Lonchura striata: one gene and its partners. The protein of the gene in region 4 binds, or shares a complex with, the protein of the main gene of each other region. Links are inferred from orthologs where the notes say so. Each region holds a gene or a part of one and is shown on either strand. Other genes may lie near its edges.

Evidence for each region.
Region 1: SMARCC2 (region 4) and zinc finger protein neuro-d4 share a complex: the UniProt entries of both Homo sapiens proteins name them as parts of the neuron-specific chromatin remodeling complex. The link is inferred for Lonchura striata from reciprocal best matches to the Homo sapiens genes SMARCC2 and DPF1.
Region 2: SMARCC2 (region 4) and SMARCD3 share a complex: the UniProt entries of both Homo sapiens proteins name them as parts of the BAF complex. The link is inferred for Lonchura striata from reciprocal best matches to the Homo sapiens genes SMARCC2 and SMARCD3.
Region 3: SMARCC2 (region 4) and PBRM1 share a complex: the UniProt entries of both Homo sapiens proteins name them as parts of the SWI/SNF-B (PBAF) chromatin remodeling complex. The link is inferred for Lonchura striata from reciprocal best matches to the Homo sapiens genes SMARCC2 and PBRM1.

What each region holds. Positions count from the first base shown.
Region 1 is NC_134633.1:4,835,304-4,842,492, forward strand, and holds the start of zinc finger protein neuro-d4, read right to left. Parts: upstream 3,004-7,189; 5' UTR 2,964-3,003; coding exon 2,932-2,963; intron 1-2,931. UniProt on the Homo sapiens protein: May have an important role in developing neurons by participating in regulation of cell survival, possibly as a neurospecific transcription factor. Belongs to the neuron-specific chromatin remodeling complex (nBAF complex).
Region 2 is NC_134603.1:157,074,575-157,082,395, forward strand, and holds the start of SMARCD3 (SWI/SNF-related matrix-associated actin-dependent regulator of chromatin subfamily D member 3), read left to right. Parts: upstream 1-4,817; 5' UTR 4,818-4,920; coding exon 4,921-4,998; intron 4,999-7,821. UniProt on the Homo sapiens protein: Involved in transcriptional activation and repression of select genes by chromatin remodeling (alteration of DNA-nucleosome topology).
Region 3 is NC_134614.1:9,331,054-9,339,066, reverse strand, and holds the start of PBRM1 (protein polybromo-1), read right to left. Parts: upstream 3,012-8,013; 5' UTR 2,898-3,011; intron 585-2,897; 5' UTR 501-584; coding exon 453-500; intron 1-452. Other genes in the region: GNL3 (guanine nucleotide-binding protein-like 3), read left to right, coding at 3,133-3,145, 3,342-3,400, 3,526-3,663, 4,247-4,360, 4,520-4,603, 4,866-5,001, 5,454-5,557, 5,820-5,955 and 2 more. UniProt on the Homo sapiens protein: Involved in transcriptional activation and repression of select genes by chromatin remodeling (alteration of DNA-nucleosome topology). Required for the stability of the SWI/SNF chromatin remodeling complex SWI/SNF-B (PBAF).
Region 4 is NC_134629.1:5,444,166-5,452,041, forward strand, and holds the start of SMARCC2 (SWI/SNF complex subunit SMARCC2), read right to left. Parts: upstream 3,008-7,876; 5' UTR 2,960-3,007; coding exon 2,849-2,959; intron 2,688-2,848; coding exon 2,568-2,687; intron 1-2,567. UniProt on the Homo sapiens protein: Involved in transcriptional activation and repression of select genes by chromatin remodeling (alteration of DNA-nucleosome topology).

The DNA of each region.
Region 1 (7,189 bases), on a different chromosome or scaffold from region 4:
CTGGGACAGGGACCAGCATTGGCACCGGCACCGGGACCGGATCAGAACCGGCACCGGGACCGGATCAGAACCGGCACCGGGACCGGATCAGAACCGGCGCCGGGACCGGATCAGAACCGGCGCCGGGACCGGATCAGAACCGGCACCGGGACCGGATCAGAACCGGCACCGGGATGGAATCAGACCTGGGACTGGAACCAGGATCAGAACCTGCACCAGGAAGGGGTTAGGATCGGGACTAGGATTGGGATCAGAACCGGGACTGGGCCGGGATCAGAACCGGGACTGGGACCAGGACTGGGATAGGGCTTGGGATCAGAACCGGGATCAGAACCGGGATCAGAACCGGGATCTGAACCAGGACTGGGATAGGGCTTGGGATCAGAACCGGGGCTGGGCCGGGATCAGAACCGGGATCTGAACCAGGACTGGGACAGGGATTGGGATCAGAACCGGGACCAGAACCGTGATCAGAACCGGGACTGGGACTGGGATAGGGATTGGGATCAGAACCGGGATCAGAACCGGGATCTGAACCGGGACTGGGACCAGGACAGGGATTGGGATCAGAACCGGGACTGGGCCGGGATTAAAACCGGGATCTGAACCGGGACTGGGACAGGGATCCGAACTGGGACTGGGATAGGGATTGGGATCAGAACCGGGACCAGAACCGGGATCAGAACCGGGACTGGGACTGGGACAGGGATTGGGACCAGAACCGGGACCAGAACCGGGATCAGAACCGGGACTGGGACTGGGATAGGGATTGGGATCAGAACCGGGACTGGGACTGGGACAGGGATTGGGACCAGAACCGGGACCAGAACCGGGATCAGAACTGGGACTGGGACTGGGATAGGGATTGGGATCAGAACCGGGACCAGAACCGGGATCAGAACCGGGACTGGGACTGGGATAGGGATTGGGATCAGAACCGGGATCAGAACCGGAACTGGGATGGGATTGGGACTGTGGCCGGGACTGGGACCAGGACCGGGACCGGGATTAGGACCAGAATTGGGACTGGGACCCCGCCGGTACCGGATCCCCATCCCGGTACCGGATCCCCATCTTGGCAGTACCAGATCCCCATCCCGGTACCAGATACCCATCCCAGCCGGTACCGGGTCCCCATCCCAGTACTGGATCCCCATCCCAGCCGGTACCAGATCCCCATCCCAGCCGGTACCGGGTCCCCATCCCAGTACCGGATCCCCATCCCAGCCGGTACCGGGTCCTCCTCCCCACCGGTACCGGGTCCCCATCCCAGCCGGTACCGGGTCCCCATCCCAGCCGGTACCGGGTCCCCATCCCAGCCGGTACCGGGTCCTCCTCCCCACCGGTACCGGGTCCTCCTCCCCACCGGTACCGGGTCCTCCTCCCAGCCGGTACCGGGGGTTTCCATCCCCACCGAGTCCCTCCCGCCGCTACCGGGAGCTCCATCCTGGAGCCTCCATCCCCCGCCGGTACCGGCACCTCCATCCCCGCCCGAACCGGGTCCAACCCCGCCGGTACCGGCACCTCCATCCCCCGCCCGAACCGGGTCCAACCCCGCCGGTACCGGCACCTCCATCCCCGCCCGAACCGGGTCCAACCCCGCCGGTACCGGGCCCAAACCCCAAACCTCCATCCCCTCCCGGTGCCGGTACCGGGGATTTCCATCCCCTCCCAGCACCGGTACCAAACCCCCATCCCCTCCCGGTACCGAACCCCCATCCCCTGCCGGTGCCGGTACCGAACCCCCATCCCCTGCCGGTGCCGGTACCGAACCCCCATCTCCTTCCGGTACTGGTACCGAACCCCCATCCCCTGCCGGTACCGAACCCCCATCCCCTGCCGGTGCCGAACCCCCATCCCCTCCCGGTGCCGGTACCGAACCCCCATCTCCTTCCGGTACTGGTACCGAACCCCCATCCCCTGCCGGTGCCGAACCCCCATCCCCTCCCGGTGCCGGTAGCGGAGCCTCCATCCCCTCCCATCACCGTTACCGGAGCCCCATCCCCTCCCGGTCCCGTTACCGGAGCCCCATCTCCTCCCGGTACCGAACCCCCATCTCCTCCCGGTACCGAACCCCCATCTCCTCCCGTTGCCAGTACCGGAGCCTCCATCCCCTGCCGGTGCCGGTACCGGAGCCCCCATCTCCTCCCGGTGCCGGTACTGGTGGTCACCCATTCCCTCCAATCACCGTTACCGGAGCCCCCATCCCCTCCGGGTGCCGGTACCGGGAGTCTCCATCCCCTGCCAGTGCCGGTACCGGGAGTCTCCATCCCCTGCCGGTGCCGGTACGGGATCCTTCATCCCCTGCCGGTGCCGGTACGGGATCCTCCATCTCCTCCCGGTGCCGATACCGGAGCCCCCATCCTCTCCCGTTGCCAGTACCGGAGCCTCCATCCCCTCCCGGTACCGAGCCTCCATCCCCTCCCGGTACCGAGCCCCCATCCCCTCCCGGTACCGAACCCCCATCCCCTGCCGGTGCCGGTACCGAGCCCCCATCCCCTCCCAGCCCCGGTACCAGGGCTCCCATCCCCTGCCGGTACCGGTACGGGATCCTCCATCCCCTGCCGGTGCCGGTACCGAGCCCCCATCCCCTGCCGGTACCGAGCCCCCATCCCCTGCCGGTACCGAGCCCCCATCCCCTCCCGTTGCCAGTACCGGAGCCTCCATCCCCTCCCGTTGCCAGTACCGGAGCCTCCATCCCCTGCCGGTGCCGGTACCGGAGCCCCCATCCCCTCCCGGTACCGAGCCCCCATCCCCTCCCAGCCCCGGTACCGGGGGTCCCACCCCGCCCCCGCCGCCGCCGTGCCGGTGCGGGCTGGGGGTGGGGGGGGCCCAGCCCGGTGCCGGGGCGGTGCCGGGGCGGCGCCGGGCGGCGGTGCCGGTGCCGGGGCGGTGCCGGTGCCGGTGCCGGTGCCCCGGAGCCGCGCTCACCATTTGAGGGGCTTGTGCAGAGCCGTGGCCATTTTGCGCCGCCGGGGCCGCTCCGCGCTCGGGGAGGGGGCGGCGGGGCTCGGCCCCCCCTCCCCTCCCCCGCTGCCCCCCCGGGGCCGCCGCCGAGCCCGCGGGACCCCCGCCCGCCCCGCCCCTCCCCCCCCGCCCCGCGCTGCCGGTGCCCGCCGGTACCGGGCGGGGGGGAGGGGAGGGGGGCAATGGCGGCGGGGCGGCGGGACTACAACTCCCGGCGTGCCCCGCGCGCCGCTGGTTGGCTGGGGGAGCTGTCAATCACCGCAAAGGGGCGGGGCTAAGGGCGGGGCTCCCTCCTGTCAGTGCTAAGGGGGGGAGGGGGGGCAGGGAGCCCCAAAATCGCCCAAAATTCCATCAAAATCCTCCAAATCCTCCCCAAAATCCATCCAAATCCCCCCAAAATCCATCCAAATCCCCCCAAAATCCATCCAAATCCCCCAAATCCTCCCCAAAATCCATCCAAATCCCCCCAAAATCCATCAAAATCCCTCAAATCCTCCCCAAAATCCACCCCAAATTCCCCAAATTCTCACCAAAATCCCCCCAAAATCCCCAAAATCCTCCCCAAAAATCCATCAAAATCCCCCAAGTCCTCCCCAGAAATCCCAAAATCCCTCAAAATCGCACCAAAATCCACCCCAAATCCTCCCAAAGCCCGCGGAATCCACCCCAAATCCTCCCCAAAAATCCCAAAATCCCCCAAATCCTCCCCAAAATCCCCCAAAATCCCCTGGAAATATCCCCAAAATCCACTCAAAATCCCCCAAATCCGCCAAAATCCCCCAAATTCTCCAAATTTCCCCCAAAAATCTCCCCAAATCCTCTCAGAGACTCCCGAAAAACCCCAAATCCCCCCAAAATCCCCCCAAATTTCCCCAAAAAATCCCCAAAAATCCCCCCAAATCCCCCAAAATCTCCCAAATTACCCCAAAATCCCCCCAAACCCCCCCAAAATCCCCCCAAAATCTCCCCAAAATCCCCCCAAAATCCCCTCAAAATCCCCCCAAATCACCCCAAAAATGCCCCAAAAAGCTGAAAACGTAAATTTTTTATTTCACATTTTTCACACTTCGGTTCTGGGGGAAATCCCCAAAATTCCCGGGAGTTTTGGGGAGTTTTTGGGATTTTTTTGGGGGGGGGGTTCCCCAATTTTTCCCCCCTCCCCAAAATTCCCTCCCCCCCTCCCCAAATTTAGTGCAAATAAATAAAAAGTGGAAAATGAGGAAAAAATGGGAAAAAATGGGAAAAAAGACCCCCCCAATTTGGGGGGATGGAGAAAAAATTGGGGGAGGGGCGACCACCACACCCCCCAAAAAAAATTTGGGGGAATCCCCAAAAAAAAAAAAAAGCAAAAAAGGGGGAAAAAGGAAAAAAAAGGCCAAAAAAGGGGAAAAATAAAGGGGAAAAAAAGGAAAAAAAAGAAAAAATAATGGAAAAAAAAGGGGGGGGAAGGGAAAGAAATGGTAAAAAAAGGCAAAAAAAGGGGGATAAAAAGGGGGAAAAAAGGGAAAAAAAGGGAAAAAACTGAAAAAAAAGGAAAAAACACCACAAAAAATGGGCGGAAAAAAAGGGGGGAAAAGGGGGAAAAAAGGCAAAAAAAAGGGGGAAAAAAGGAAAAAAACCCTGCAAAAAATCGGGAAAAAAAAAGGGGGGAAAAAGGGGGAAGAAAAAGGAAAAAAAGGGAAAAAAGACAAAAAAGGGAAAAAAAAGGTAAAAAAAAGGGGGGGAAGAAAAAGGCGAGAAAAGTAAAAAAAGGAAAAAAATAAAGGAAAGAAAAGCAAAAAAAAGGCAAAAAAAGGCAAAAAACCGGAAAAAAATTAAGGGAAAAAAAGGGACAAAAAAAGGCAAAAAAAGGTTAAAAAATGGAAAAAAAAAAAAAGGGAATAAAGGAAAAAAAATTAAGGAAAAAAAAGGGACAAAAAAAAGGCAAAAAAAAGGCAAAAAAAGGTTAAAAAAAGGGAAAAAAAAGGGGGGAAAAAGGGGGGAAAAAAGGCAAAAAATGGGAAAAAAAGGGCAAAAAAAAAGGTAAGAAAAAGGAAAAAAAGGGGGTAAAAAGGCAAAAAAAGGAAAAAATTAAGGAAAAAAATTAAGAAAAAAAAGGAAAAAAAAGGGGAAAGAAAAGGGGGAAAAAGGTAAAAAATGCCAAAAAAAAGGCAAAAAAAGGGGGAAAAAAAGTAAAAAAATGAAAAAAAAGGCAAAAAAAGGGGAAAAAAGGTAAAAAAAAGGCAAAAAAAGGCAAAAAAAAAGTTATAAAACTGGGGGAGGTCCCCAAATTTTGGGCACCCCCCCAAAAACCGCATGAAAAATCGGGGACCCCCCAAAAGAATTTGGGGACCCCCCCCAGAGCCCGAGGGGGTTTTGGGGGATTTTTGTTTTTGCCCAAAAGCCGCGGATTTGGACCCAAAATTTGGGGTTTGGGGACCCCCCCCCCAAAATTGCGGCGGGTCTGGCAGAGGCACCTGGTCCTGGAAGGGAAGGAAAGGGTTAAATCTGGGGGAAATTGGGAAATTTGGGGGGTAAATTTTGGGGGGAATTTGGGGGATTTTGGGAAATTTTGGGGTTAAGTTTTGGGGGAAATTTGGAGGATTTTGGGGTTAAATTTTGGGGGAAATTCGGGGGATTTGGGGAAAATTTGGAGGTAAATTTTGGGGGAAATTCAGGGTATTTTTGGGAAATTTTGGGGTTAAATTTCGGGGAAATTTGGGGGATTTTGGGAAATTTTGGGGTTGAATTTGGGGGAAATTTGGGGGATTTTGGGAAATTTTGGGGTTGAATTTGGGGGAAATTTGGAGGATTTTGGGGTTAAATTTTGGTGGAAATTCGGGGGATTTGGGGAAAATCTGGGGGTTAATTTTGGGGGAAATTTTGGGGATTTTGGGAAATTTGGGGGGTAAATTTTAGGGGAAATTCGGGTGATTTTGGGAAATTTTGGGGTTGAATTTGGGGGAAATTTGGAGGATTTTGGGGTTAAATTTTGGTGGAAATTCAGGGGATTTGGGGAAAATTTGGGGGTAAATTTTGGGGGAAATTCAGGGGATTTTTGGGAAATTTTGGGGTTAAATTTTGGGGGAATGCGGGATATTTTGGGGAATTTTGGGGAAATTCAGGGGATTTTGGGAAAATTTGGGGGTAAATTTTGGGGGAAATTTGGGGGGTAAATTTTAGGGGAAATTCGGGGGATTTTGGGAAATTTTGGGGTTAAATTTGGGGGAAATTCGAGGGATTTTGGGGTTAAATTTTGGGGGAGATTTGGGGAATTTGGGGGATTTTAGGGTTAAAGTTTGGGGGAGATTTGGGGGATTTTGGGGTTAAATTTTGGGTATTTTGGAGGATTTTGGGGTTAAATTTGGGGGAATTTTGGGGTTAAATTTTGGGGATTTTGGGATATTTTGAGGTTAACTTTTGGGGGAATTTGGGGGATTTAAGGAGTTAAATTTGGGGAGATTTGGGGGATTTCGGGGGAAATTTGGGGGATTTTGGGGGACTTAAGGGGTTAAATTTGGGGGATTTTGGGAAATTTTGGGGTTAAATTTTGGGGGAATTTGGGGTTAGTTTTTGGGGGAAATTTGGGGGATTTGGGATTAATTTTGGGGTTAAATTTTGGGGAAATTTGGGGAAATTGGGATTAATTTTGGGGTTAAATTTTGGGGGATTTGGGGTTAATTTAGGGGTTAAATTTTGGGGGAATTTCTGGGATTTTGGGGTTAAATTTTGGGGATTTAGGGGTTAGTTTGGGGGGGAAATTTGGGGGATTTGGGGTTAATTTTGGGGTTAAATTTTGGGGATTTTGGGGTTAAATTTGGGGATATCTGAGGAATTTTAGGGGTTAAATTTGGAGGATTTTGGGGAATTTGGGGGTAAAATTTTGGGGGAATTAGGGGGATTTTGGGATATTTTAGGATTCAATTTTGGGGGAAATTTTGGGGATGTGGGGTTAATTTTGGGGTTAAGTTTTGGGGGATTTTGGTGGTAAATTTGGGGATTTTGGGGGATTTTTGGGGTGTTTTGGACTTAAATTTGGGGTATATTGTGGGACTTAAGGGGTTAAATTTGGGGGATTTTGGGGTTAAATTTTGGGGGAATTTGGGGGATTTAAGGAGTTAAATTTGGGGAATTTTAGGGTTAAATTTTGGGGATATTTTCGGGGTATCTCACCTGGATTTTTGGGATATTTTTGGGGTGTCTCACCTGGATTTTTTGGGATATTTTTGGGGTGCCTCACCTG
Region 2 (7,821 bases), on a different chromosome or scaffold from region 4:
TTCCCTTCCCTTCCCTTCCCTTCCCTTCCCGACAGATTTGAGAAAGAAGTACTGGAAAGGTCTAACAGAGAAAGGAACTTTTGTGTTACAAAATCTAAGTTTCTGTAGGGAAATAAGGCAAAAGGAGCCTCTGGAAATCAGCTGGTTCTCTGTCCTGCCCCAAGACAGAACCCACACCACCTCCATCACTCTGGATAGATGCTTGTCTGACATGTTCTTGAAAGACTTTGGTGATGAGGAGTCCCATCCTTGCTGGACAGACTATCTCAGAACTTCTCTACTGTCACTGCTGTGCTTCTCCTTAATATCTAACATAAATCTTCCTGGGAGAAATTTAAGCCATTATTTCCTGTACTCTGTGTATGGGGAGCAGCTCTTCCCTGTATTTGCAGCAGCCTTTTGGACATCTGATGACTGTTGTTTTCTCTTTATCTTGTTTGGACCTTGCGGCTCTTGTCACACTTTGTGTCCTTTCCTTAACCATCCTGGTTTCCTGGTTTCTCCCACTCTTCCTCTGATGCACAGAGCCCTTGACGGCAAAGGTTGGTCTGGACCAGACACTGACAATTCATACCACGACCGAATTGCTTTGGAAGAGTTCCTCAGCAATTCTGGCAAAATTTAATTTTTCAACCTTAAGGAAATGCTGAGATGGAACAGCTTGTGGCCTGGAGAGCTCAGGGAATGGGGAGGAGGAGGAGGAGGGACGGAATGAGGAGAAATGAAGAATCTGAGTACTGTTGTCAGTGCCTGTGCTGCCACCAAGGGGATGAGAGCAGTGGGGCAGCATTCCTGCAGTTCCCGATCTTCTGGGGGTTTATCTGGTTATTTTGTGACAGGGTAGTAGTACTGTTAGCTCAGTTAGTACATTCAGCTTATGATCTGTCGTATCCCCAGATGTTTTTTTCTGAAAAATAAACATCTCTTCAGCCAGTTGTTCCCCGTCTTTTATTTAGACAGTTGTTGATCTATATCTTTATGTGGAGCCCTGCACTGTTTCTGACTGAAATATCCTGGTTTGAAAAAAACAGGATATATCTCCAAGTCGTCAGGATTTTAATTTTGATAATCTCTTGTAGCAAACTTGTAACCTCTCCAAACTGTATGTTGCTAGGAAATGGAATAAGTATGTTCTCTAAGTACATTATCCATATTGTTAATGAGACTATTGAATAATTCTGAACTCAGGAACAAATGGACATTGCTTTAGATTAAGCAGAGCCACCATCTTGGGATATTTTCTGGTTCTAGCATGTCTTCTCTGCCACATTGCATCAATTCTAAAACTATTGTGAATATTTTAATTTTCAGTGAAAAGAGCAATGCTGACTTAAGTAAAACTTGGATGAGGGAAACCACAGCTGCTTAAGGCAATCAGCACCTTCATGTACTTCTATAATTACCTACTGATCAAAAAATGGCAAGTAGCAGCAAACATACCTCCCTAAAACAACAGCTGCGTTCATCTCTTTTCTAATCAGACCATTTTAGTTTAATACCCTGAAAAGCCCTGAATAGCAGAAGTTAAACCAAACCACACACACAGAGACCAAGTGGGCTCCCAGTGCCCCAGGAAGTACCAGAGAAGGAGATCAGCCTTTCTCTGAAATGAAATGGTCTGGGAATGGGACATGAAGCTGAAAGTGAGTATGAATGAGGCCCCAGTGCATGCTCAGCCTTCAGGAATGAGTGGAGGAGCACAAGCCTTGCACAGAGCCCCATGGCTCAGAGAACTTCTAGGTCAGAGACGGCTGGAAGCCGTCAGGATACTTGCAGCAGTTGGAGATGACTTGGGTTAAATCGGTCACTTTTTAAAAGAACATTGACAACTATTTTCTACACTTTTATGGAAAAAAAAAAGTTGGGAAAATAGAAAACCAAACAATTTAAAATAAAATTATATGCTGTTTCTCTTAATATGGGAAATTAATTATTGCATGGTAACCTTCATCCTTTTGTGCAAATGGCTCACACAGTAGTTTTCCTGGACACTATTGTGAAGGGTTGAAGAATCACAGGAAATGGGTTTCATTCTCAGCTAGGTAATGTTGGGCAAGTCACTTCCATCCACTTGTACCGTATTTTCCATTTGCAAACGTAAGAGCTGCATCTACTGATTTATTTTCTAAAGTGCTTGGAGAACTACCGTCATGCTAAGTAAGAGCTGAATTTTTATTACTACAGGATTTTTAATTTTTTTTTTTTTTTACATTTACTCAGTTGACGGCTGAAGTGGACTGCCCGTGGAATTTGATGTTCAAGGAAAACTGCTTTTGGATGTCTGTTAAGGATATCCAGACAGATTACAATATACATGGTATGGTTTTCAGCTTAAATTAGTAGCACTTCATAGCAAATGTCCTCCTGCTCCAGAAGGTACTCAGTGGCTATTGGCGGAAATCGGGGCAGCTGCGGCTGCACGCCGAATCTGTAGCGAAGGGGGGAAACAAGAAAACCCTGAGATGCGGAGCCGAGCGCATGCTCCGGCCGGAGGACAAAGGGCCGGGCCGGCGAGAACAGCCGGCTGCCGCTCGGTGCCGCTCCTCCGCCGCGGCGCGGGAGGGGTTAAAGCGCTCCCGCCGCGCGGCCCCGGGCGCGGCCCGCGCTGACCTTCACGGGGCCGCGCTGCGCATGCGCGCGCCGCGCCCGGGGCCGCGCCCGGGGCCGCGGTTCTGCTCGCGCGGCTCGGCCCGGCCCGGCCCGGCCCGGCCCCGGGCGGGCAGATTGGCCCGGGCCGGTCCTCGCCCGCCCGCGGCGGGGCCGGGACCGTGGCAGGCGCACGCCCTGCCCGTGCCGGGCGCGCCGTTGCCATTCGGTGCCGATGGTGCTGGCGGCGGAGCGCGGGGGGACGCGAGGGGGGACCGCGCGCCGCGCCGCGCCGCAGCGCGGAGCCGCCGCCGCCCCTTCCCGCGCCGGGCCCGTAAGGACGGCTGCTGCAGGAGTCGGCACGGCCCGTCCTCGGTGCCGTTTCGCGCGGCGCGGGCTCGCACGGCTCCCCGCGAGGGGGAACAGCCGCACGGGCCGGAGCCGGTGCCCCCCGCGGCCGGGACTGCTGGGACCGCCGGCCGGTGCGGCACCGACAGCTAGTGCAGGAAAATGCACGGTGTCTGCCGGGCGCGGGAGGGGGCTCACATGATGGGAGCCAGCATTCCTGTGTGAGCCTGGGGTCTAAAAAGCATGGCAGATACCAGCTTCATGCTTGCCTTGCCAGTCACCTTGGCATGCAGAATTTAGAGTCCTTTAGGTTGGAAAAAGCCCTCCAGATCAAGTTAGCCTGACATGAACACGTCCACCAGACATGCAGCAGTTGGTTCCAGATTATATCTGCCTTTCTTTAGTTCAGCGAGAATTTAAGGAATTTTTCCAGCACAAAACAAGGCAAGGCTATGTTGATTTGCTTGGTGTATTCCTTCTGAGGGGCTTAGAGGAGCTGATAAGCATGCTCACCCTCGCTAAATTTCTGTGATTCCTAGGGCGGTTGCTATACACTAGCACTTAGATTGGGGTGGCCCTAAAAATCAGTGGAGGTCACTGTCCTCGTCCCCATGTTCAGAAGGCCATGTGACCTTCATGGCTTGCCCTTCGCTGCTAGTCAATGCAGTGTCTTTTCTGTGCTTGTTTTTATTATTGTATGAGGGCAGAATAATTTTTATTTTTCTGATCTGATTCTGTCGTTTGCAGTCTTGACAGAAAATTCACAGCCCCTAGACAAGAATTTAAAGCAGAGGAATAGAATAAGCCCCTCTTGTAACCTGGCAACATCTGGCCTATTGCTGTGTTAAGGGAGAGCAGGGAACATCGGCCCTTGTGAGCTGCCGGGAGCAGATGGGTGCCCCGGGCCATCGCTGCAGGCTCGGCCATCATGGAGCAGCCAGACTCGGCTTGTGGAATGGCCGCCGTGCTGCCAGCGCCACCTCGCCCCAGGGCCACCGAGGGGCTGGGCTGCTGCTCTCTTCTCTCTTCCCCCTTGGGCTTCATGTTCCCAGCAGTGTCGTGGCATCTCACACACTGTCGTGCAGGGCTTTGTTTGACAAGCAGTGAACTGCTGATGTTTTAGAGCAGCTGTGGTGTTAATAATTTGTCTGCGCCTGTCAGTCACCTGGGGTCTCTAGAGGATCCGTCGCAGTGGTGCCAGACCATCCCGGGAGTGGTCAGTGGGGAGAGGTGGTGCGAGTGGGGGCTGGAAACAAGCCGTGGGAGCTTTGCCGCCATGCTGCCCCCCACCCCTTCCTCCACTGATCTCACACACTTTCCCTTCGCTTCCACATGTCCCTCCCTGTTCCCAGCTCCGGCCTCCCGCTGCTTCTCTCTTGTCCAGAGGGGTTAGCTCTCGTCTCTCATGCTGGAAATGCTGCCAGCGAATGTTTCTGTGTGCTGCCTGCCAGGTCCCTGGGGAAAGGGCCTGGAAATGCAGTGCGGGAGGAGCAGTGGGAGCAAGGGAAAACCACTGTTCGCTGCTGCATTTTCTAATGGGAAAACATCTCTGCGAAGTGCTGAGCTCTGTGTCACTGCTGAAGTTGCCCCCTCCCCCTTCCCCTTGCCCCAGAATTTCCCATCCCTGATGCAGAGGAGGAGAGGCTGCAGCACTACCAGGGAAAACCGAGACGTATTTTTCAATTTGCCTCCTGCTTATCTCTGCTGTTTGGACAGAGAGGTTTAAAAAGCTGGATTTTCTGTCCCTGCAGAGTAAACAGACAGAGCCCGGCAGCACAAACTATTTCTGGCTTATCAGTGGAGGAATGCAGCAGCTGAGGCTGAGCGCGAGTGGGCCGTCAGGAAGGCCCTGAAGGGGCCCCCTCCCCACTCCGTGCTATTAGAAGTGTGAGAGCCCAGCAGGACTCAGAGGGGAGAGTTGGAGAAAAAGGCAGAAAAGGGAAAGAAAGAGGAAGAGAGAGAGTGAGAGAGGCTGAGCAGACCCTGATGGCTACAGATGAAGTTACAGGAGGGGCTCGCAAAGCTACGAAAAGCAAACTTTTTGAGTTTCTGGTCCATGGGGTGGTGAGTCGGGAAAGTTAGTGAGCTGGCTGGCTCTGAATAGAGGGATGAGTGGAAACTGGAGGTTCTGTGCTGGGCTGGATCGGCTCCTGCAGTGTGCTCCTGGGGCGCTGGTAGCTGCCTCACCAGGAGAATGCTGGGGTCTGTGGAACCCCCAGCCTATGCACTGATTCATTGTTAATACAGCTTGTGTCTGGGGGGATGTGTGCTGTGCTTTTTGCTGTGATTCTCCATGAATGGTGAATAGCATGCTTTTCAGCCTGATCATGGTGCAGAATCTGCACTGGATCTAACCCGTATTGGCTTGTAGGACACTTTGTTCTGTAATCAAACTTGCATTTTGAAAAACAATTCTGATGAGAGCCTGATGAAGCCTTGGGGTGCTGCCTTTGGTTCTTGTCTCCAGTCTTGGCTCATTTGTATCCTCTGGCTACTTAACAGGTGACTTTCAGGGGCTTGAAGAGATTAGCTCTGCAGGTCTGTAACAGTCTATGGAAACTCACCCACGAGAGAATGTCAGGGTGCCATGCTTAATTAAAGCAATCCTTCAGGTCTTTACAAATGTTCCAGCTTTTGTTAAATAATCAGGTCTTTGATCTCCATTTAAGGGGAAATGCTCACCCTGTTTTACTGCGACTGGAAACGTTCTTTAAATGACTCTAGTGTCTGAGAGCAGTCACCACTTATAACATTTGGATTTCTAGCATTGGTACACATTGAAGAGAAATAAGGCTGTTAAAAAGCCCAAAGGAATGTGATATTTGGATGCTGATATTCCCAAGTGCTTCTTTCTTGAGGATCCTGGCACCGCCTGTGGCACCTTTCTGAAGACATCAGGTGGAGGCTCTTGTACAGAGATCATAGAAACCTGTGGGGTTCAAGGCAGACTGTTGAGTTGTCTCCATGATAGGCCTACTCCAGATGGTAGGATCTTGTGTGTGTTCTTTAGATCCTGGATATGGTGGCACAGGCAGGGCCAAGGACTCTGAGGTAGCCTTCTGTGTTGGTGGGAGCTGTGAAGTGGTGGTGTGGTGCCAGTGCACAGGAGCAGGCTGGGCGAGATTGGCAGCTGCTCGGGGGTGACGGAGAGCGGGTGTGCAGTGGTAGCAGTGCTTTAGTTGTGGACATGTGGGTTTGTCAAGGTGGTCTGGATTGTGAGGCTGTATCTGAGCAGAACCAGAAGCACAAGTTGGAAGGATAGCAGATGGGATGATTTTGCCTTTTCCAAAGTTTCCCTTGGCATTTGCACACCAGTGCTCTTCCTTTAGTATCAAGAAGAGCGGCAAAAATAGTTATGTGAATTTGTTTATTCCACATCTAGCTGGCCTTTGTGTGAAAGCAGCATGCAGGGCTCTTAAGCCTGGGAGATTTTTAATTTATACTGGAATGAATATAGCAGAACTCATTTCCGTTACTTATTTGGATGCCAGGAAAGTCTGCCTTTTCTACCCTGGAACTTTTGTTGCTAGTGGCATCTTACTTGAACATATACATTAGCCTGGAATATCTATATATATATATCTCCTGCTTCTGTTCCTGAGGCTGGGGCTTCTTGGCTGTTGTTCTGGTGCCTGAACACTTCTTGTATCACCCTCTCTTTTCCTTCATTATCATCTCCTTTAGTTCTGCTTTGGTGCCTGGTTTGTTCTTTCCTTTAGTTTTTTCCTCATCTCAGGTTCATTTCAGTCAAAACATGGGTTGGGGTAGTCACTCTTCCATGACTTAAAAAAGATGAAAAAAAAGCTATAACTTTGTTTTATCTCTCCAGGCCCTGTATCCTGCCAAATAAGAGAATGTGCCATGCGAGCCATTACCTTGACTTTGCCTAGCACTGGCTCCTCTGTTTTATTACTATCAAAGTGTGTCAACGGCTGAATTAATTAATTGAAAAATCAAGTTGCATAGCAGACTTTAGTGGAATTTCTTGGAGTCAGACTCTGCTCTAATTTCAGGGACCAATCTCTTCTTCAAATGACTGATTTTTTTATTCTGTCGATGATAACATTATTTAACTTGGTTATTGAAAATTATTTTCTCTCCCCCCTCAAAAAATGGGGAGAAGTGAACAGAGGTAGAATGTTGTGAGAAATCTTTTTTTGCTTTGTTGACACTTAAATTAACAGGATATTTCCTGCAGTATTTCCTATGGGCGCTTAGCTCTTGGATTCACTTGATCTTTCTGGAAACATATATTCCTTTGCTAAGGTCACTTTGCCCTTTGCTCTTGTGCACCTGATCCTGCTTTTGTGCTTTTCCATACTGCCAGCTTAGATGATGTCTTCTTCCTCCTTTGTCCCAGGCAGAAGGGATCCCCCTGAAAGGTGAAGTCTTTCAAAGGTTGAAACTCTCAAGTGGGATGCTTCATTCTCTCCTGCTTGTGACCTTGATAGTTTGTTACACCTCTGGTTAGCAGTTGGGCTTTTAGAATGGTTACCTATCTTTCAGATATTTATTTTTACTATGCTTTTACTTCTTTTAGTTTTGTCAGTGTTTTGCGCATCATTTTTGTGGGAAGAATTTTTTTTCCCCCCAAAGATTTCATGCTGTACTTAGTCCTTTGTTGTTGTTCCTCTCTCTTTCTAGCTTTTGTATGGACAAATAGGCTTTAATCACCACATTTATGATGATTTTCTTTTTATCAGTGCATTTTCTGCTCTCCAGTAGTACATTTCAGGCAGTCCTTATGACATTGCTCTAGGTGTCCAGCTGTTACCTTGTATTTTGTTGAACAAGTTACTAGTCTTGCTGCAAGTCATTCCTTTCCTTGGTTGCCTCTATCCTCCAATCCCTACCATAGGCCTCATTGCTGGCTGGATTCCTTAAAGG
Region 3 (8,013 bases), on a different chromosome or scaffold from region 4:
GTGTGGGATGAATGGCTCAACCATGGAGAAACAGAAAAAGCTCCCTCCTCTTCTGGCCATAGTTTTGCATTTACCAACACAAGCAGTGACAAATGAATAACCACCATCCAACAACTATGGTAATTTATGGAACAAGTTATTGGCTCTTTCCCAACTTCCAGTGACAGCATCAGAAACGTATCTTTATTTGTGGCTATCTCAAAGGCTGAGCACAGAACAGATGCATCTATCCCAGCCCATCCCCATTTTCCAACCAAATCCAGGGATTTCTTTCAGGAGGCACTCAGATGGTTGACAAGGTATGGCAGCACGAGGTAACTGCATTAAAGCATTTCTCTTAGAGACAACTTCAGGCACACACATGAGATGAGTAAGGTAGGAATAATTAACAGCTAGGAAAAAGAAAAGCAAAAGGCCAAGGCAGAGGGATGGAGATACAATCAATAATTTACCAGATTTACCAGAGTAGAACCAGCACCTCGAAAAGCCAATCTCCTCATAGTGTCTGATGGGCAAGCACAGATACTGCGAGAAGGGGACACTCTAAGAGTGGCAAACCAGTAATGGTGTTAGTACAGCCACAACTGGAAGACAAGAAAAAGCAAAGAGAGAGAGAAGAAAATTCAGACTAGGTAGATAAAGAATAAAATCAAAGAATAAAGTGGATAATTACAGTGACAGAGAAAAAAAGCAAGAAACAGAAGGCAACTTTTTATAGCCCAGCAGAAACTCTACAAAGTAATTCTGTACACAGAATGCTAGACACTTCTGTCATTGTCACAGTAAAAATACATTTCTCTCATGTTCCTGAATATGCATTACAGATTTCACCGCCACTTGCTAGAGAATGATTCATCAAGAGCAGAAAGTAAACAGAAGTGATACCTGACCTGAGAGTACAAACCAGAAAGCTGTAAAACTTACAGAATGCAAAGCAGTACAGTGCTTATAAGAACATAATCTTAAGGTCAACAAGCATTTATTAAACTCTAAGATGATGCACCTCCAAAATTCTTCAGAGTAGACTTTTATACTCAGAAGTAAGCAGTAAGTATGCAGCCATACGCTAAAAAAAAAAAAAAAGTTTCAATTTCTAAGCCTCCAAGCCTTATTTTTTTCACAGAAATTCCATGTGAAATACACAGAACCATTTAATAGCAAAATGTTTGCTTCTGCGTAGTTCTTCCAACTCCTGCCTTCAATCAAACCCCAGAGAGGTTCTTTTACAGTTCAGCACTCTGAACATTCTCGTAACATGAACATGCAGAGAAGCTCTGTGGTTTATCAGCAGGCAATTCATTTTGGGAACTGACAACAGCCTCAAGCCTTGGCACAGCCTCCAACTTCCATCTGAGGGCTACAGTCTGGAGTGGCTCCACCAGGCAGGTGCTGGGAAACACAAGCCCTTGGTTGTGGAGGAAAGGCAGGAGGGACTACCAGAATCAATAATTCTGCTTCAACCAGGAACCCAAGAGTACACTCAGACCAGTCCCATCCTGAAATAAAGATCTGGGAAGCTCCCAACCAGAACTGCCTGCAGACTGTACATCAGCTGCTCCATGTGTACTGTCCGGGGCACAATGCTGTGGATCTCAGCCATACTCTGACACTGCTGTGATCAAGGTACCCTCACCACTCACACAGCCTCCAAAACACGTTTTTCTCCTCTAATAACCCTGTAAAACATGCATCAGTCTGGACAACATCACAAACACTCAGGGAGAGACCTGCTGATGTACCACTCACTGAAGGTGAGGCTCCAAAACACAAACTTCTTCCTAAACTGCCACACTCCTAAGCACAGAGAACTCAGCTGTGCACAGAAACACAGCTTTGCTGAAGAACCTCTCTCCCTGAGTTTCTTCTGCAATTGCACTGCTGGCTCACAGGTCTCTCAACAGTCACACCAAGAATCTCCACTGCTACCACTGACCACCTCCAATTCAACAGCAGCTTGAGCATCTCCTCGGTAATTGCCCCCACCAGCCATAAAAATGTCACAAAACCACAGCAAGAAAGGCTTTGGCCATTACTAATTCACATGTATACTGATATACACAACGGGGGGAAGGAAGGAAGGCTGTCCCTCCCAAAAGCTGTAGGGAAGGACCACAACAAGTGTCACCCACTCCAACCTCCCTACACCCACAGGTTTTACACTCGTCGGACATAACACACTTAAAATAAAACGTTCTAACACACTAGAGGTTCATTTTCTGCCTCCAGGCAGAGGAAAGCGAAAAGCCAACAGATACCACGGGTAGTACTTATTGCTATCAGGATCTCCCACGTTTCACCAGAAACACGAAACACGGTAAATTTAGCAAAGGGAACAGGGGAGGGAAACGCAAAGGGAACAGGGGAGGGAAAAGCCGGAATTTCCCCCGGTTACCGATCCCATTGAAAGCTGCTACGGGATGGGAAGAGGGGGCTGGCAGCAGCCAGGCACGGTAACAGGGCAAAGCTGACGGGAAAGCGAGAGGGACAACACATCCATCGTTTTACCGGCACCGGGACAAGGAACAAAGGCAGCAAATCCGGAACTGCCCGAGGCGCCGGAGCCCTGCCCGGGAGGTGAGGCGCTATCCCCGGCAGGAAACAAAGAAAAGCCTTTCCCGGCACCGGGCGGCCAGGACGGGGTCCCGGGCCCGCCCCGCGGGGCACGACCCGCCGCGCTCAGCGCGCGGGCCCGGGCGGCGCCGGCACGGGAACACGGCGGGAGCGGGGCGGGGAGGAGGGGCTGAGGCGCACCCGGGCCCGGGCAGGTGACGGGGGCCGGCGGCGCTCGGTGCCCCGGGCCCGGCGCGCCGGGGCCGCTGCGCGCTCGGGCGGCGCCGCCACACAAAGGGAGGCAGCGGCCTCCAAGCTCCGGCCCGCGCCCCGCCCGCGCCGCTCACCCCGCCGGCTCCGCTCCGCCTCCCGCAGCCGCGGCCGACCCGGGGTGGGTGCGCGGGGTCCGCCCGGCCCGGCCCGTCCCGCCGGTACCGCCCGTCCGACACCGCCGGTGCCGCCGCCGCCGCTGCCGCAAAGCGCGCCCGGCCGCCCAACGCGCCGAGCCCGCGCGACACCCCGGCGGGGCAGCGCCGGCGCGCTTTACGGCAGCGCCCGCCGGCGGGAGCACGTGGCGGCGCCATGAAGCGGCCGAGTGAGCGCCGGGAGCGGCTCCGGGACGGGCACGGGCACGGGCACCGAGCGGGCGGGAACGGCACGGGGAGGGCGCGGGCGGCGGCCCGGCACCGGGGGGCGGCGGCCGCCCGTGGCCGAGCGAGCGGCAGCGGTGGAGGAGGCGGGAGTCGGGGCCGGGGGATGTTTGCGGCGCTGACGGGCGCGGTGCGTTGCAGAGCTGCGGAAGGCGAGCAAGAGGCTGAGCTGCCACAAGCGCTACAAGATCCAGAAGAAGGTGAGGCCCGGCCCAGCGCGGCCCCCGCGCCGCGTTCGGCGATTTTGGGGCCGCTGCGCTGAAGTTTTGGGCCTCAGAGTGAGAACGTTTCTTGTGCCTGCCCTCATTTCTTGTGCTTCCCTCAGATAAGAGAACACCACCGGAAAGTCCGCAAGGAGGCCAAGAAACGCGGCCACAAGAAGCCCAAGAAAGACCCCGGAATTCCCAGTGCTGCGCCGTTTAAGGAAGAGCTGCTGCGGGAAGCGGAGCAAAGAAAGCAGAGGGTAAAACACAGTTTTCGGTAAAGAGAACAAGAACTGAGAGCATCCCCTTCTGTAAGGAAGCTTTGTGTGCACTCAGAGGAGCAGTCATGGTAGATGGTCCCAGCAAACTCGTGCTTTGGAAAAATGATGTATTTATTTCCAGCACCGTACCGTGTGCATTGATTTGCTCTTTTATTTTTAACCTTCGTTTCCTCACTGGGATGGGAGCATGCTGGAAGTGTCTTTTCTAATGCAGTCAGAATTCCCTGTGGTGCTGGGATACAGAAATGTCCCATCAGAGTGCTGGGAGTTAAATCATGGCATTATGTGATTACACAGAAAATCGGGATCTGCTGTCTGCAGTGTGCACTAATGTGGCATTTGTCAGCTGTAGTGGTGGCTGCAGCGCTGCTGTTCTGGGATCAAGCAAATGCATGGCTGCCTCTGGGTAGGATGCAAAAAAAGAGTTCCCAGAGTTACTTGGACAGCCAGGACTTCTAACTGAGCTGGCTCAGGAGCTTGGGTCAGGAATGGGGAGAAAGAACATTCTTCCTTAGCACCTTCGAAGATGTTTTATCTGCCCTGGGTTTTTGTTTGTGATCAGCTTGAAGAACTGAAACAAAAGCAGAAGCTCAATAGACAGAAAGAACATGAAAAGAAGAGGAAGCTGGAAGCTAAAAAGAATGCAGTCACAATCAAGGAGAAAGCAGAGGGAAAGGTAGGGGTCCTGTATGATTTTGATTCCTTGAACCTGGAGAAGTCATCCTGAAACTGCACCTTCTTAAGCAGCAGTTTACATTTTCATGCTGAATATGCACACAAGTAGTAGACACTAATTCTCATTTAAATAATTTCCTTTTGTTTTTATTTGCTTTAGGACTCCCCTGGCAAATCTAAAGGAAAGACTAAAAAACCACTGAATAAAAATTCTAAGAAATCATTCTGCAGGGAGCTTATGAAGGTGAAATGCTTTAACTATTTTTTTTATCATTAGATATAGATATATAGATATTTTATATCACTAAAGAGTCAGCAATAAGATCACTTGTTATTTTGCTTTTTTTGTATTACTGTTTAGAGCACAAAGTTTGTCTGTGATAAACTAGAACACTGATGGGATTTTACAACAGAAAATGTTAACTATTTTTGTAAGCCACAGCTATAGCAGAATTGTAATCTGGTCTGTGATGTCTTGTTGGATTCCTGTCTTTTTTCTGACCCAGGTGCTTGAGGCCTCAGATGTAGTTCTGGAGGTTTTGGATGCCAGAGATCCAATGGGCTGCAGGTGTCCTCAGCTGGAGCAAGCTGTCACTTCCTCTGGAGGGAACAAAAAGCTGCTCTTGGTTCTGAACAAAATTGGTAAGAAACACAGGTTTTCTCAAAGTGTTACTGGCACTGTGTTTCTGTGGTGGGTGAGCTATGAAGATTTTAAAGGAATCTGAGATTCCATTGAAGACATGAGATCCAACTCTGAGCTCACTACAAAGGCTGGAAATTACCCAGTACCAGTAGCTAATTAAAGAAAACAAAATACCAAGAGCAACAAGAAGAGCAAAGGGAACTCTGTGGTAGAAGTCAGAATCTTTCACAGATCATTCTGTACCATGCAAAGTCTTCTAGCCAGAGCCCAGCATTAAAAGCCTAATACAGAGGCCAGAAATGTAATTGTGATATGTTCTGCTAAGGCAGAAAGAGAGACTCTGTGTGCCTTTGGGGAAGGTATCCAGTACTTCATATTAGAGTTCTCAGCCAAATGGTATTTGTCATGATAGGATTAATTTAAGGAGTGAAAGAACTGCTCTTCTTTCCAGATTTGGTGCCAAAGAACAACATAGAGAAATGGTTGAATTATTTGAAGAAGGAGTTTCCAACAGTTGCTTTTAAGTCAGCAACAATTATGAAGGACAAGACTATGGTAAGAGCACTGCAGGCTGTCCCACGAAAAGTTCATGTGTTTGCAGTCATACATGTTGGAACATCTTTAAAATTCCTTTCTCCCTGGTTTGGTTGCACTTTTTGGTTGATGGATGTGCCTTTACACTTCAATTGAGCTTTGCAATACAGTGGGAGAATTCTTAGCACGGAAATTACAGTAGATTAATAAATCTAAGTATCCATATTTTATCTTCCTTAATAGCTCCTGACCATGGGCTTTTTTTTGCCTTTGAATCTGGTAGCAGGAACAGGTCACAAAAAGACATGCACGTGTTGATTTCGCAGAAACCACTCAGTATTTTGGAAGCAAATGCCTTTTGAAGCTTCTTCAAGGGTATGGCAAGACCCAAGACAAAGCCATTCAGGTTGGGGTTGTAGGTAAGTGTTTGGAGAAACAGGAGGAGTTTCTTTCTCCTATAAAGCTTTGGGATCCTGTATTCCTGGACTGGGTAAAACTGCTGACACCTGGTTTGCTAATGAGCTTTCTAGTCACTGTTCTTTGCTCCAAGACTCTCAGTGTTGTAGTGCTTCAGCTGCCAGGGATCCATGGTGCACTGCCATGTGCAGCACGGGGATCTGTGGGAGAACAAAGAAGGCAGGATATGTGCTCCACTGGCCCTGCCTTCCCCATGCCTGACAAAAATCCCATGGAGTATAGCACCACAAATCCTACAAGTGTGAGAAATGAGGATACATTCTTTGTCTTACTTCTGTAGTGAAGACTTCAGATCCAACTCTGATCTCACACTGATGCTTACGTTAGCAAAGCTACCTGGAAGAAGCTGTTTTGATTGGTGTTAAAAAGCTGTTTTCTTATTAACTTAAAAGGATTTATGTGATTTTTCCTCAGGTTTCCCTAATGTGGGAAAGAGCAGCATAATCAACAGTCTCAAAGGAAAGCGTGCTTGTAATGTTGGCCTGACAAGAGGTGTTACCAAGTAAGCTCAGTCTGATAAAAGCTGTTCCTTTCCTTGTTTGTTGTGTTTCAGTTACCATGAGTTTGTGTTTTAGTCCATTAGGGACAAAGCACACCCAGTGTGCAGTTTTAAATGCACATTAAAATTTGCAAGATGAAAGGTATTGGTATGTGTGATGCAAGCTTTCTCCAGGGGATAGTGTATAAACTTGATGTTTTGCAAAGCATTCTATATTGTGGAATATGTATGCTTTTGCTTGAAGGTTGTTTTGTTTGTTTAAATTTTGTTTGTTTTGTTTGTTTAAATTTCTATCCTACGCAAAGCACATGATGACAAAACATTGAAACTGACTTTATGAAGTACATTCAATCCAACACTGAGCTTTGTGTCTTGCATCCCTCACCATTACCAGTCCTTCACTGATTATCTGCTCACAGTGCATTTTTCTCTGAACAGGTCCATGCAAATTGTGCACCTTGATAAGCAGACAAAGATGCTGGACAGTCCAAGTATAATTGCAGATCCTTCTAACAGTGCCCTCACTCTGGCCTTGAGAAGTATCATAGACCCTGAAGGATCAGACTCAGCAGATGTGCTTGAAGGAGTAAATGCCATCATAAATCACTGCAGTAAGCAGCAGGTGAGATCCATCTTTCTTCTACGTCTCTCACTGCATCAGACTTCTCTTTAGGTTTCCTAGGCCAAATAATGAAAGTTCATTTTGCTGTAGCTAATTCTGATAGGTTTTGAACTGCTTTCCCTAACCATACAAAGTGGCAATGCCAAGTGTGAGCCTTCATCCTTACAAACAGAAGACAGAACAGCATGCCACGATCCTGACAGCCAGAGTAAACAGCATTGCTTTTAAGACCTATCAGCACACAGAGAGTGAAAAATGATGATACTGCCTCTGTATTGCCTAGGTTACAGTGAAGACCTCAGATCCAACTCTGATTTCACTCTAGTTTCAAGCAAATTAACCTAAGCCTAATTGCCTTTCAGTTATTTGAGAAGGGTTTTCATAGACCAGTGTGCTGTCCCATTGCAGCACATGTCACATTTGAGACAGCTACAACATGTAGAGTACCAGCATACAATAACAAAAAGCTTCACCCCATGCAGAGTAACACCTCTTCAGAAGGCTGCAAGCATCTCCCCTTCTTGTTCTTCAGCCCAGCCTTTTATCCCCTCATGTTCCTGCAGTGCCCCTGTGTGCCCTCTGTTCCCTTTGGTGGTTGCTCAGAGCACCTGGGCACTCCCTGGCTCATTGCTGCCAGTGCTGCTCACCTGCTGCTCACAGCTGTGACACTGGGGATGAGGCTGGGCCCAGCCCCATTCCCAGTCCCCAAAATGTGCACCTACACTGTCTCTGTACACCCACAAGTCTGGTTGAGTGGCAGATGAGTTTGTTGATGAAGCAGGCTTTTTGCTTTCTAATGTTTACTCCCACATGAGTGAGAAAAACAGCTTTTCTCTTACTCTGTCCTCACTGTTACCCAACTTCATTTGCTCTTTTACT
Region 4 (7,876 bases):
TGTCCCAGGGTCCCCGGCACTGTCCCCAGCACTCCAGGCCATGTCCCTGACCAGGGCACTGTCACTGGCCGCTGTCCATGGTCAGCTGCTGTCCCCGAGCCACCAAATGCTGAACGGTGTCACCAGGGCCGTGTCCCTGAGGCTTTGGGTGCTGTCCCTGCTCAGGGTCGTGTCCCCAGGTATTGGGGTGCTGTCCCTGCTCAGAGCTGTGTCCCCAGGTCTTTGGGGACACGGCCCCAGGGCTGTCCCCGTCTCTGGGGCACTGTCCCTGCTCAGGACCCTGTCCCTGGTCATCATTGTCCTTGTCCCCTTTTCACTGGGGCTCTGCCCCAAGGTTTGGGGTGCTGCTTCTGCATTTTTGGGATGCTGTGCCCATTTAGGCCTTGTCACCCTGTCCCTGGGTGCTGTCCCCAAGTCCTGGGGTTCTGTTCCTGAGCACTCAGATGCTGTCCCTGGGTATTGGGGTGCTGTCCCCACTCAGAGCCTTGTCCCCTGTTCTTTGGAGCTTTTTTGGGGGGCTCTGGGGCCCCATTCCCACTCAGCTTTGTCCCCAGGTTTTTGGGTTGCTGCATGTGGGGCACTGGGGCCTCATCCCAGGGTCATTGGGGTCTGTCCCCAGGCCTTGAGGGCACTGTCCCTGCTCATCAGGGTCAAAAAATCCCTGGGTCCCCAAATCCCTGGGGTCCCCAAATCCCTGGGTCCCCAAATCCCCAAGGCTCTGTCCCTGGGATTTTGGGGTGCTGTCCCCAGGTCTTTGGGCTCTGTCCCTGGGCACTGGGGTGCTGTCCCCAGGTCTTTGGGCTCTGTCCCTGCGATTTTGGGGTGCTGTCCCCGAGGCTTTGGGCTCTGTCCCTGCTCAGGGTCTTGTCCCTGCTCAGCAGGGCCCTGTCCCCAGGCACCAGGGCTCTGTCCCTGGGCATTGAGGGGACATCCTGAGTACTGGGATGCCTTCCCTGGATATTGGGGTGCTTTCCCCAACCTGGGCTCTGTCCCCTCTTCTTTGGTTCTCCCCCCTGGGTTCCTCCAGGACCCCATCCCAGGGTCATCCCTGCACTTTTGGGGCTCTGTCCCTGCTCAGAGCCTTGTCCCCGCTCACCAGGGCCATGTCCCCAGCTCTGAGGGATGCTGTCTCCACATCTTTAAGGCACTCTCTCCAACCTGGGCTCTGTCCCCACCTCATTGAGGCGTTCTCCCCATCCTGGGCTTTGTGCCCTCTTCTTCGGGGCTCTTCCCCAGCTCACCGGGGTGCCATCCCCAGGTCTCTGGGCTCTGTCCCTGCTCACCAGGGCCATGTCCCCCGCTCTGAGGGATGCTGTCCCCACATCTTTAAGGCACTCTCCCCAACCTGGGCTCTGTCCCCACATCTCTGAGGCGTTCTCCCCAACCTGGGCTTTGTCCCCCATTCTTTGGGACTCTTCCTCATCTCACCGGGGTGCCGTCCCCAGGTCTTTGGGCTCTGTCCCTGCTCAGAGCCTTGTCCCCGCTCACCAGAGCCATGTCCCTAGCTCTGAGGGATGCTGTCCCCACATTTCTGAGGCGTTCTCCCCAACCTGGGCTCTGTCCCCACCTCATTGAGGCGTTCTGCCCAACCTGGGCTTTGTGCCCTCTTCTTTGGGGCTCTTCCCCAGCTCACTGGGGTGCCATCCCCAGGTCTCTGGGCTCTGTCCCCGCTCACCAGAGCCATGTCCCCCGCTCTGAAGGATGCTGTCCCCACATCTTTAAGGCGTTCTCCCCAACCTGGGCTTTGTCCCCCGTTCCTCGGGGCTCTTCCCCATCTCACTGGGGAGCCGTCCCCAGGTCTCTGGGCTCTGTCCCCGCTCACCAGAGCCATGTCCCCCGCTCTGAGGGATGCTGTCCCCACATCTCTGAGGTGTTCTCCCCAACCTGGGCTTTGTCCCCTCTTCTTTGGTTCTCCCCCCAGGTCCCTCCAGGACCCCATCCCAGGGTCATCCCTGCACTTTTGGGGCTCTGTCCCTGCTCAGAGCCTTGTCCCCGCTCACCAGGGCCATGTCCCCCGCTCTGAGGGATGCTGTCCCCACATCTTGAAGGCACTCTCCCCAACCTGGGCTTTGTGCCCTCTTCTTCGGGACTCTTCCTCATCTCACCGGGGTGCCGTCCCCAGGTCTCTGGGCTCTGTCCCTGCTCTGAGCCTTGTCCCTGCTCACCAGAGCCATGTCCCCAGCTCTGAGGGATGCTGACCCCACATTTCTGAGGCGTTCTCCCCATCCTGGGCTCTGTCCCCTGTTCCTCGGGGCTCTTCCCCATCTCACCGGGGTGCCGTCCCCAGGTCTCTGGGCTCTGTCCCTGCTCACCAGAGCCATGTCCCCAGCTCTGAGGGATGCTGTCCCCACATCTTTAAGGCACTCTCCCCAGCCTGGGCTCTGTCCCCACCTCATTGAGGCGTTCTGCCCAGCCTGGGCTTTGTCCCCCGTTCTCCGGGGCTCTTCACCCGGGCACCACGAGCGTCCATGCCCGCACCTCCGGGGCCCCGTCCCTGCTCAGGGCCTCGTCCCCCGCTCCCCGCGTGTCCCGGCCGCGGTGTCCCCGCGTCCCCCCGCGGCTCTCACCGGCAGCTTGGTGAGGGGCGCGTTGCTGACGTGCTTCCCGAACACCTCCTCCTGGAACTGCAGCAGCTGCACCACCAGGCTCGACAGCGACTTGTTGGTGGGGGGCTCGGCCTGGATGTACTGCGGGGCCGGGGCTCAGCGGGGCCGGGGCTCAGCGCGGCCGCCGCGGCCGCTGAGGGGAGCGGGGCGGGGTGGGGGGGGCGCGATGGCGGCGGCGGCGGCGCCGTGACAGGCCGGGCCCGGCGGGCCGGAGGGCGGCCCCGCGGTTCCCGCGGACCTACCTTCTTGTAGTTCTTGCCCAGCCACAGCCGCACGTTGTCGAACTGGCTGACGGTGTCCGAGGCCTCGTAGTACTTGACGTTGGGGCCGCCGTCCTTCTTCCGCACCGCCATCTTGAGCGGGCCGGGCCGCGCCGCCGCCTGCGCCCGCCGCTGCCGCCCCCTGCCGGCGCCGCGCCGCCACTGCCGCGCCCGCCGCTCGCTGTCCCCGTTCCCGGTCCCTGTCCCCGTTCCCGGTCCCTGTCCCCGATCCCGGTCCCTGTCCCCGATCCCGCTGTCCCCGATCCCGCTGTCCCCGTTCCCGGTCGCTGTCCCCGATCCCGGTCGCTGTTACATCCCCGCCGCCCGCCTTGGTGCCCTCCCGTTCCCGCACTGCCGCTCCCGCCGCCCCCGCTGCCGCCCCCTGGCGGTGCCGCTCCGGCACTGCCGCCTCCGCCTCTCCCGCCCGGTCTTGCCGGTGCCGGTCGCTGGTCCCGCTCCCGCCCGGTGGTTCCGGTCCCGGTCGCTGGTCCCGCTCCCGCACCGCCACCCCCGATCGTTGTTCCCGACCTCGATCGTTATTCCCGGCCCCGCCGCCCCCGTTCTACCGCCCGCCACCGGTCCCGCTGCGCCCGCCACCGCCTCCTGCTGGTCCCGTTCCCGCCGTTCCCGCTGTTCCTCAGGCGCCGTTCCCGGTCCCGGGCGCCGTTCCCGGCCCCGAGCCCCCGCTCCACCGCCCGCTGCTGGTCCCGCTGCCCTCGGGCGCCGTTCCCGGTCCCGGGCGCCGTTCCCGGCCCCGAGCCCCCGCTCCACCGCCCGTTGTTGGTCCCGCTGCCCCCGGGCGCCGTTCCCGGTCCCGGGCGCCGTTCCCGGTCCCGGGCGCTGCTCCGGCCCCGAGCCCCCGCTCCACCGCCCGTTGTTGGTCCCGCTGCCCTCGGGCGCCGTTCCCGGTCCCGGGCGCTGTTCCCGGTGCCGGGCGCTGTTTCCGATCCCGGGCGCCGTTCCCGGCCCCGCCGCCCGCGGGTGCGACAAGAGAGGCACGACAAGGAGAAATGGGTTTAAACGAGAGGAGATCGGGCTCGGACGGGATTCGGGGAGGAAATTCCGCCCTGGGAAGGGCTGGGATGGATTTCCCGGGACAGCCCCGGGAGCGTTCCAGGCCGGGTTGGACGGGGTTTGGAGCAGCCTGGGATGGGGGAGGGCGTCCGGAGGGAGCCCCCGGACGGCACCGAGCACCGGGCTCCGAGCATCAGGCACCGAGCACCAGGCACCGGGCTCCGAGCACCGGGCACTGAGCACCAAGCCGGGTACCGAGCACCGGGCACCGAGCACCAGGCACCGGGCACTAAGCACCAAGCCAGGCACCGGGCATTGAGCACCAGGCACCGAGCACCAAGCCGGCCACTGAGCACCGGGCGCTAAGTACCAAGCGGAGCACCGAGCACTGGGCAGCGAGCACCGGGCACCAACAACCGGGCACTGAGCACCGGGCACTAGGCACCAAGCCGGGCACCGGGCACCGGGTACCGGGCACTAGGCACCGGGCACCGGGCACTAAGCACCAAGCCAGGCACCGGGCACCGAGCACTGAGCACCGGGCATTGAGCACCAAGCTGGGCACCGAGACCAAGCCGGGCACCGAGCACCGAGCACCGAGCACCGGGCATTGAGCACCAAGCCGGGCACCGAGACCAAGCCGGGCACCGAGCACCGGGCACCGAGCACCGGGCACCGGGCACCGGGCACCGGGCGGGGGCGGGCCGGGAGCGGCGGCGGGCCCGGGTCTATGCGGAGCGCGGCGGACGGAGGCGCCAGAGTCACGGTGGCCGAGTGGTTAAGGCGTTGGACTCGAAATCCAATGGGGTTTCCCCGCACAGGTTCGAATCCTGTCCGTGACGCCGCGCTCGCTTTTGCTGCCGGCGAACACACGTGGCAGCTGCCCCGGTACCGGCTCTTTTAACGGCGGGAGCGGCACGGAGCCTTCCGCCCTCCCTAGTGGCTCCCCTAACGGCGGGAACAGCGGGGAAGACACAGCCTCAGCCTCCGGTACCGGCTCCTTTAACGGCGGCAACAGCACCGATCCCCCAATCCCCGGTACCGGCTCCTTTAACGGCAGGAACAGCACCGATCCCCCAATCCCCGGTACCGGTTCCTTTAACGGCAGGAACACACAGATCCCCCAATCCCCGGTACCGGTTCCTTTAACGGCAGGAACACACAGATCCCCCAATCCCCGGTACCGGTTCCTTTAACGGCAGGAACACACAGATCCCCCAATCCCCGGTACCGGTTCCTTTAACGGCAGGAACACACAGATCCCCCAATCCCCGGTACCGGTTCCTTTAACGGCAGGAACACACAGATCCCCCAATCCCCGGTACCGGTTCCTTTAACGGCAGGAACACACAGATCCCCCAATCCCCGGTACCGGTTCCTTTAACGGCAGGAACACACAGATCCCCCAATCCCCGGTACCGGCTCCTGTAACGGCGGCAACAGCACCGATCCCCCCACAGGTCCTGGCTCCTCTAACGGGGGTAACCATAGGGATCCTCGCTCGGTTACCGGTCCTTAACGGCGGCAGCAGCGGTAACAACACGTGCTCTCCCTCCGGTACCGGCTCCGTTAACGGCGGGAGGATCAGAGAGTCCCCACGCCTCGGTACCGGGTCTTTAAGGGGTGGGAACATTGGGGAACCCCCTCTAATCCTTTAGGATTAGTTCCTTTTTGGGTCCTTTAGGGGTGGGAGCAGCAGGGACCCCCCAGACCCAGTCCCGGCTCTTTTTGGGGTGGGAACAATGGGGACCCCCCTAATCTCAGCTCTTTTTGGGGTGGGAACAATGGGGACCCCCCTAATCTCAGTTCTTTTTGGGGTGGGAACAATGGGGACCCCCCCTAATCCCGGCTCTTTTTGGGGTGGGAGTAGTGGGGACCCCCCAGACCCAGTCCCAACTTTTTGGGGTGGGAACAATGGGGACCCCCCCTAATCTCGTCTCTTTTTGGGGTGGGAACAGTGGGGAACCCCCCCAAGACCCAGTCCCAGCTCTTTTTGGGGTGGGAACAATGGGAACCCCCCTAATCCCAGCTCCTTTAGGGTCAGGAGCAGCAGGAACCCCCCAGTCTCAGTCCCATCTCTTTTTGGGGTGGGAGCAGCAAGAACCCCCCAAAACCCAATCCCAGCTCTTTTAGGGTTGGAAACAGTGAGAACCCCTCTAATCCCGGCTCTTTTTGGGGTGACAGCAGCAGGAACACCCCTCTATTCTCTGATCTTTTAAGGGCAGAAGTGGGGACCCCACTCCGGTCCCGGCTCTTTTAGGGGTGGGAACAATGGGGACCCCCCCTAATCTCAGCTCTTTTTGGGGTGGGAACAATGGGGACCCCCCAGACCCAGTCCCAGCTCTTTTTGGGGTGGGAACAATGCGGACCCCCCCTAATCTCGTCTCTTTTTGGGGTGGGAGCAGTGGGGACCCCCCAGACCCGATCCCAGCTCTTTTTGGGGTGACAGCAGCAGGGACCCCCCTCTATTCTCTCATCTTTTTAAGGGCAGCAGAAGTGGGGACCCCACTCTGGTCCCAGCTCTTTTAGGGGTGGGGACAAGTTCATCCTTTTTGGGGGGCACATCTGGGGGGCTTCGGAGCCCCCAGACCCTCCGTCACCCCCATTCCCTCCCTGGAGTGACATTTATCGATCCCCAGATGCCCCAGGATGGGGAGGACAGCCCCAAACTCACCCATTTTTACCCCAAAACCGAGCCCCCCGACACGGGGAGGGTTTTGGGGTGCAGGAGGAGGCCCCCAAAGCGGGGATAAAGCAACCAGAATTCTGTTTATTGATCACTTCAATCCCTGCCTCCCGCCGGATCTGCCGGGACCGACACCGGAGGAGAAAAATGGTAAAAAATAACCCAAAAGAAACGCAAATAAATTAAATTCCCAACGAGTCCCACGGACCCAGGCCAGAGGCGCCTGCCTACGGTACTTGGAAAAAAAATCGAATAAAAAGGGGGAGTAAAAATGAGAAAAGGTCCAAAAAAAAAAAAAAACAAAAAAAATTGAAGTACAAAAGAAAATAAAATACAGATCCACGATCACGAGTGTCTGGGAAGCAACAGCAAGGGTGGAGGAAGCAGAGTGGGAGGAGGTGGGGGATGCCCGGGGGGAATTCCAGAATTCCAGAGGGGGCGAGGAGAGGGAGCTCGGCAGATTTGGGGGGACCCCCGAGGGGTCTGGCAGTGCTGGAGCCCCCGCCGCCCCCTCCTCGCTGGGTTTGTAACGGCTCCAATCAAGCGAAGAACCCGAAAATTCCAAGTCCAGAAATTCAATTTTTCCTGCCGTCCCAGGATGGAGAAAACGTTGATTTTTTTTTTTTTTCCAAATCTCCACGCCACGAGCAAAAAAAAAAATCACAAACCCTAAAAACACCGAGTCCGGGAAACCCCACAGCCATCCCGAGGTGGATTTTGTTTTTTGTTCTTCAGATTTCTTCCACGCTGCGAGCGAAAATCAAAAACCCTAAAAATGCCGAGTCTGGGAAACCCACCCCCACAAGCCATCCCAAAGTGGATTTTTAGAAATTTTTTTTTCTTTCTTCAGATTTCCTCCAGGCCGTGAGCGAAAATCCCAAACCCTAAAAGCGCCGAGTCGGGGAAAACCACCCCGCCGTCCCAAGGCGGATATTTTCAATTTAAATTTTTTTTTTTTGCTTTTTTCAGATCTCCTCCACGCTGTGAGCGAAAATCCCAAACCCTAAAAACGCCAAGTCCAGGAAAACCCCCCTGCCATCCCAAGGTGGATTTGTTTTGTTTTTTTTTTTTGTTCTTCAGATCTCCACGCCGTGAGCGAAAATCATGAAAATCCCAAACCCTAAAAACGCCGAGTCGGGTTGTCCCGAGGCGGATATTTTCAATTGAAATATCTTTTTTTTCACCTTTTTTCAGATTTCCTCCAGGCCGTGAGTGAAAATCACAAACCCTAAAAACGCCGAGTCAGGTCATCCCGAGGCAGATATTTTCAATTGAAATATCTTTTTTTTCGCTTTTTTTCACATCTCCTC